2 linked regions of the Ovis aries genome follow. The protein of the gene in region 1 purifies or fractionates together with the protein of each later gene. This does not show direct contact. Links are inferred from orthologs where the notes say so. Each region holds a gene or a part of one and is shown in the gene's direction. Other genes may lie near its edges.

The links. The genes of interacting proteins can lie anywhere in the genome.
Region 2: the proteins of PRKAR2B (region 1) and AKAP9 purify together in Homo sapiens (affinity purification with mass spectrometry; 3 studies listed by BioGRID and IntAct, counting the BioPlex papers as one, with this or other methods). This does not show direct contact. The link is inferred for Ovis aries from reciprocal best matches to the Homo sapiens genes PRKAR2B and AKAP9.

The regions. Positions count from the first base shown.
Region 1 is NC_056057.1:49,772,687-49,776,398, forward strand, and holds the end of PRKAR2B (cAMP-dependent protein kinase type II-beta regulatory subunit), read left to right. Parts: intron 1-1,251; coding exon 1,252-1,385; 3' UTR 1,386-3,205; downstream 3,206-3,712. UniProt on the Homo sapiens protein: Regulatory subunit of the cAMP-dependent protein kinases involved in cAMP signaling in cells. Type II regulatory chains mediate membrane association by binding to anchoring proteins, including the MAP2 kinase.
Region 2 is NC_056057.1:10,189,740-10,193,396, forward strand, and holds part of AKAP9 (A-kinase anchor protein 9), read left to right. Parts: intron 1-741; coding exon 742-1,410; intron 1,411-1,624; coding exon 1,625-1,830; intron 1,831-2,132; coding exon 2,133-2,238; intron 2,239-3,657. UniProt on the Homo sapiens protein: Scaffolding protein that assembles several protein kinases and phosphatases on the centrosome and Golgi apparatus. Required to maintain the integrity of the Golgi apparatus. Required for microtubule nucleation at the cis-side of the Golgi apparatus.

The DNA.
Region 1 (3,712 bases):
CCATTACTTTTTTTCTATAATAAAATGTATCGCTTGCTCAGTCGTGTCCGACTCTTTGCGACCCGTAGACTATAGCCCACCAAGCTCCTCCGTCCATGGGATTCTCCAGGCAAGAATACTGGAGTGGGTTGCCATTTCCTTCTCCAATAAAATGTATAGTCACATTAAATTTGAGAAATACAGAAAGGTAGGAAAAACTAAGAGTTACCCAGTACCACCACCACCCAGCAATTTCCACATCCTATTATAATTTCTTATCATCCTTTTTTATTTATATGTTTTCAGTTTTAAATCAGTTTTGTAAACTGCTTCTTTCATTCATTATAGCTTAGGCATTTTCTCATGTTTATTACATCAGATATTAACATTGGTTAAATACATGCTGAATTATTTACTCACTTCTGATACTGTCACATAATTTTTGAGTTTTGGCTCCTTTGCACTGTGGGGGAGAGCTTTTCTGTGGGGGTGTATGCATATACTACTCAGGAAAAATACTAGGATTTTTCCTGAGAAACGCTTTTTGGAAGTGGGTTTTCTGTTTATGGTTTTTGATACCTATTGCCAGATCACTTGTATTTGCACTTATTTACATGCTGCCAGCAGTGCAAGAATTTCCATTCACTCTGTTGTAAACACTGCCTTTTTTAGTTCTGTAAATTTAAGAAGCAAAAAAAAAAAAAAAGAATTTTAACTTAATGATAGCATGATCATATTTTCATATAAATTCAGTTTTTAAAAATGCTCGAGACAAGCAATCTAAGCAACATGGAGCATATACTTAACAGACGCGGACAAAATCATTACTTGGGCTACCATTTTGAATTGACTAGACCCTAGTATAAAAAATTATAAAAGGTAACATTTGGTCTTCACAACATTGCATTGTAAGTCCTGAGGAGGGAAAACAAGATAGAAAACACTACCTTGCACCCCTGAGTTCATACTGCTAAAGTGGTGACATAAAAATGTATTTGTTTTTTTTTTTAAATTCTAAGGTCTTGCCATAACAATCCCTCATTCTTTTAACCTGGATCAGGAACTTCCAATACAATGTCATATGGCCACGGGCCACTGGCTGCTTCCTTTTTGAAGTGGAATGTTTTTATCTTTATGCCTTTTTCTTGTATCTGTTATTTATGCAAAAATGCCATTGCATCACTGACATATGTGAAATAGGTACCATAAGTGACTGAGAAATTCCAGATTTGTAAAGAATGTTATTTTTCTTTTATTCTCCACTCTTCTTAGCCATGGATGTGCAAGCGTTTGAAAGGCTTTTGGGACCCTGCATGGAAATCATGAAAAGGAACATCGCTACCTATGAAGAGCAATTAGTCGCCCTGTTTGGAACGAACATGGATATTGTTGAACCCACTGCATGAAGCAAAAGTATTGGAGCAAGACCTCTAGTGACAAAATTACACAGTAGTGGTTAGTCCACTGAGAATGTGTTTGTGTAGATGCCAAGCATTTTCTGTGATTTCAGGTTTTTTCCTTTTTTTACATTTACAATGTATCAGTAAACAGAATAGATATTTAATAGTCAATAGGCTTTAAAGTCACTTTCTAAAAAGAGTAGATCCAAAAAAATCAACATACTGATAAAATGACTTTCTACTCCACAAAATTATGATTTGACTGAAGATTCAGATGATTGTAATATATTGAAAGTATCTGTTTAAGAAGATAATTAAAGGATGTTATCATAGGCAATGTGTATTCATTTTGACTTACTCAGATTGATATGTTATGACTACACCCATGTAAAAGGGAACTTGGCAGTGAATCATGCTATACAGCATGGCATCACATTCTTTTTACAACTCACTATATATAGTAAGTACAATTTAACCATTTTTGTTTTAAAGTTTTTCTGGCTTGATAAGTTATGTGCTGGCCTTGGCCTATTGGTGAAATGGTATAAAACATCTTATGCAATTTTAAAATCTTTTATATTTTTGCAATAAAGTACCTTTTGATTTCTTGGGTATAATGTCAGTAGCCTACATATTCTAGTGGTTTTAAGGACAGGCAGTTTAGTCATTACAACAACAGGAAAGCGTCTTTAGATGAAAGGTCATTATTTTCCTCATAAAGCATCTATCTATGCTTCCTTTTTCCATTTTTGCAGTTCTCTGTATTTGTTATCTTTAAAAATTTGTTTGACATTTAATGTCACAAATATTTTTAAATGCTCTTTAAACTTAATTGTTGTCTTCTAAACGCCTAAGATCTTATTATAAATGCTAAAAAAAAAGTATCCTATACCAAAAATATTTGGGGTCCTTATCAACATGCCCATAGATATTTCTTTGTTCTTCACTAGACATGTGTAATAAAATCCTTGCAGACATCTGCTCCCATGGGTTTCCTCCAAAGTGGGAGAAATAAATTCTTGTAAGTAAAACATATATAAGAATAAAAGGAATTTCTGCCCATTCCAAGTATTCCATTAGGCCCCTCTACTTGCTTTAATATAGACTCTCAATTGCATTCACTTCATTCTGCAAATGCAGAATGAACTCAGCTGAATAGATTTTTGTTGATAATTGATAATGCTTATTCTGCTACATAGAATGAATGAATTATATTCCACCAAAGCAGTATACTCTTACATGAGTTCTAGGACTATGTGACCCCAGTGTCTAGAGACATTAATTCTAACCAGTTGTTCCCTTTTAAATCAGTGGTTTCATTTTGGGAAATATGTTTCAAAGAAATATATACATGGGTAAAAAAATTCTGTGGCTAGTTTGGTCTTATTAGAGAATGTTTCTGGTCTTGCTTGTATAATGAAAATGTGGTAAAGATACGTGAATTGGATAATGTATATATAAGAAGTATGTAAAATATACCTTCAGCCACATTTTAGGACAGTTTTAACTACTTTGCAAACTTTCCCACGGGAAGAGAGCTTACTGCGTGCAGACTTGTTTTCTATAATATTTCAGATTTTAAAAGTCATGTCTACCAAACAAGAAAAAAAACACAAAGAACCACAAATTCTTGGTTTATCATTCTGTATTTTCAACTTCCTTCACTTTTTCAAGTTACCTATTTTGTTGCATAAGCTAATTGTTAACTACAAATGCCTGTTTAATAAAGAACTCTGACCAAGGCTGTAAATGCCAGTTACATTATTTTCAGTATTGTTGGTTATATTTAAAATTTCCTTATAATAAAGCACAGTTTTATAATAAAATGTTATTACTGAGGTGTTTTTTTTCTTTCCTGTTCTTTCCTGTGACTTCCATAGTGCACATTATACTATGTGAAATGCATGACAGAGGTGCGGCATGTGTGAAAAGAAAGGTAAGATCTGGGCATCTTGCAGCAAGAAAGTGTGGTTCTGTGGGACAAGAGGTTTTTAAAAATCTTAGCTATTGGTTATATGTGATACAGATAGTTGTGACATGTTGCAGACTCATTCAGCCATTTAGAATAACCAAGTCTGGCTGGCTAACTAGGGAATGTATGTGTTAAAGTAATTAAAACACCACAAGCTTGAGTTATGGATGCCACTGTTTAATCACTAGCCAAGAATCTTTCTGTTTGGAAATTCTCTGTCGATGTTTCATTCAAGCATGCATCATGTATGACTAAGAATTCTGGGAGGACTCCCAATTTTAATACAAAGGTGCTTTTCTTTGTTTTATATGTGTATGTGTGTGTCCTGTTGATACAAACCAGGGCTTGGTGTGTATAAACG
Region 2 (3,657 bases), about 40 Mb from region 1:
TCCGCAGTAGCCTGCCAGGCTCCTCTGTCCGTGCGATTTCCCTGGGAAGAATACGGGAGTGGGTTGCCATTTCCTACTCCAGGGGTCTTCTGACCCAAGATTCAGACCCATGTCTCTTGTGTTTTCTGCATTGGCGGGCAGATCCGTACCCCTGGCGCCACCTGGAAAGCCTAGCCAGAATTTCTGCCCTGCTACATTTGTTTTTGTTTTTGTTTTTTTTCCTAGGGTCCACCATGGTAGCCACCAGGCATTGTGAGCTTTCTGCCTAGCAAGGACTTTTATTTCTTCAGTTATCAGTATTTTTATCATCATAGATGTTTATAGCATTTGAGTAGTTTGTCCCCCGGCCTTCTCCATAAGCCCAGTTATTTTTAGTTATGTGGTAATGCATGGAAAAATTCAAGGAGTTTCAGGAACTCCCATCACATTATATGATAAATACTTTTAAGATTATTAATCTGCTGCATATTCCTTAACCAGATATGATTAATGTTGGGAGAAAAAGTGTTATTTAGCTTAACTCTCTTTTGTTGATATTGTTTGATGAACATCAACTGGCTGCCCAAATAATTTAACATTCTAACTACTGAAGATAAAAGTTAGCAAAATGGTCGTCAGTTCTTTTACCAAATACTACCAACTTAGTATTAATAAAAGCATAAGGGCACAATTGTATACTTATGAGGTATTTTTACTAATATTAACATGAACAAATTCTCAAATTCACCTTTCTCCTACAAGGATCTGAAGTTTTCACTTGAGGGTCAGAAACAAAGAAATATCCAACTGAGTCAACTTTTGGAACAACAGAGACAACAACTGAATGAATCGCAGCAGGAGATAGAATCACAAAGGGCGCTACACGATGCCCAGCTAGCCGAAGAACGAGGCCGCAGCTTAGAGCTTCAGGTGCTTCTTGAATCCGAGAAAGTTCGGATTCGGGAAATGAGTAGTACCCTGGATCGGGAGCGGGAATTGCGTGCACAGCTGCAGAGCAGCGATGACGGTGGGCAGCCCCGGCCATGCTTACCCTCCGAGGACCTCCTTAAGGAGCTTCAAAAGCAGCTAGAGGAGAAACACAGTCGTATCGTGGAACTGTTAAGTGAGACTGAGAAATACAAACTGGATTCCTTGCAAACAAGACAGCAAATGGAAAAGGATAGGCAGGTTCACAGAAAGACGCTGCAGACAGAACAGGAGGCCAACACAGAGGGACAGAAGAAAATGCACGAGCTTCAGGCCAAGGTGGAAGACCTTCAGCGCCAACTGGAAGAGAAAAGGCAGCAAGTTTATAAGCTAGACCTGGAAGGAAAACGACTGCAAGGGATTATGCAGGAATTCCAGAAGCAAGAACGAGACCGAGAAGAAACACGAGAAAGTAGAAGAATTCTGTATCAGAATCTTAATGAGGTAAATTGACATTTTGTTTTAAAATATCTTTTAGAAGAATATTGTAGTCCTGTGATCATATAATTTTGATACTGGATTAAATGATGTACAATCATTTATAAATCTATAGAAGTCTATTTGGAATATAAACAGTAATTATGTTCCCTTAAGAAAGAATGTGATGTGCTATTTGTGGTACAATTTTCATTTTTCTTTTTCTGTCCAAAATTTCTAGCCAACCACATGGAGTTTAACCAATGATCGAACCAGAAATTGGGTTCTTCAGCAGAAAATGGGAGAGACAAAGGAATCAAGCTATCCTAAAATGATTGAAATGAATGGAGGAGGAACTGGCTATAATCATGAATTGGAAATAATCAGACAAAAACTTCAGTGTGTGGCGTCAAAACTACAGCATCTAGCCCAGAAAGCCTCCAATAGGTTAGAATTTTCTGGCTAGCTTTTGGAAATGGCATTCTTAGGCAAGCTGGGCAGAGTCTGTCCCTCACTAGAAGCTAGTGAAAATTTTAAAGTTAATGCATGTTTACACTAGAAGGTGATCTTTAACAGAACTCATATACCTGAAAATAATTCTCATAGCACCCTGACTCAGGCAAAGAGAAACTTAGTAAAAGAGAAAAAAGAGGTGAAGTAGTGTCACCTGACCGGCAATGTTTGTGTTAGGAACACAGCTCCTTGAGTTGATATGTTTTGACTTTTTGCCCTTTTTTTCTTTTTTGAAGACTACAGTTTGAAACAGCAGATGATGAAGATTTTGTTTGGGTTCAGGAAAATATTGATAGAATTATTTTACAACTACAAAAATTAACTGACCAGCCAGGAGAAGAGGTAAGACTTTTTAAAAACACTTTTTAAAGTATCGAGAGCGAAGCTATGATGGAAATTACACGGATCGTTTGATACTGACACTGCATTTTTTAAGAGTTTTTATCGCTTCATTTATTTAAAATATTAGTAATGTTTGCCTTACCCCAACAGAAGACAGTGAAAGTTTGAGGGGAAGCAGTATTACCATTATTGAGAAATTGTGGTGGCCTCTTACTTACATTCTGAAGTTCCTCGCAGCAGTAGGCTGCCTTTATCTGCAGCGCGCGGTGAGACCACGCTTGGGATGCTGCCAGTGCACTCGGTTGACTCACGCGGTGAATCTGTTCAGTCCCTGTAGTTCTTGGCTTCTTTGTAGCATTTGATACTTTTGACCTCTTCCATTTGAAATACCCTCTTTCCTTACCTTTTGTGTTAATATTCTCTCATTTCTTCCATTTCTTTCATCATTCACCTTTAAGAGTTCCTCTTCTTCCTATGCTCGTCCATTGTTGTCCTCTTAATGTGAAAGCTCATTCATTCCCAAAGCCTGAATTCTCAGTAGACTTAATTATTGAACAAATACTTATATTGGGCACCTAGTACGTGCCAGGTACTATATTGGGTTCTGAGGCTACGATGAACAAATCTGATAAGGATCTTGCCCTTGTGTAGCTTATCTTCTTGTGGACTGTGGTTCTAGTCAAGACCTTTGTCCTGTGTTCCAGGTTTATATTTTCAGTTATTTACGCAACACCTTTCCTTAGGGAAACATACCCCGTGGTGACCTCTTTAGGAACCTCACAGGCACAGACCAGACTGAGCATCGTCTTCCTTTCCTCCTTCCGGTCCTAATCCCGCATTTCTGGTCATGGTATCACCCGGGATAGAGTTGAAAGTCAGCACAGATCAGTTTCCTTTGCTCTTACGCGCACACCCAAGCAGTCGCTAGGGCCTGTTCCTTCTGGCTCCTAAATGTCTGTCCCTGTGCCTTCGGTCATTGCCTGCATTCAGGCCTTCCGCATTCCTCACCTAGACCATGGGCAATAACTTCCTGATGTCACAGCTTGGCGACACAATCTTTCTTTTCTAATATACTTTACTTTGCAGAGTACTGTCGAAGGATTCTTTGTCACACATAAATTTTGTTTATGGCATGCTCCAGCCTTAAGCCTTTCATTGCTCTTCACTACCTACATCTAGGTCTGTCGTCTGTATAATGAAAGCAGCCTTTACGGTTAGTCGTAATAAGCATGTCTGTAACTCCTTAAAGGTAACACACTCACTCAAGCCTTGTACCTTTACACTTGCTGTCGTATCTACTTAATATGCCCCTCTTTCCTCCCTGGTGAGGTCCTGGTTATTATTAAAGACTCAGCACAAGCCATGGTTCTTCATGAAATCTGTTGTTCTCGGTGAGTTCACATTTTATCTGCATTGTTC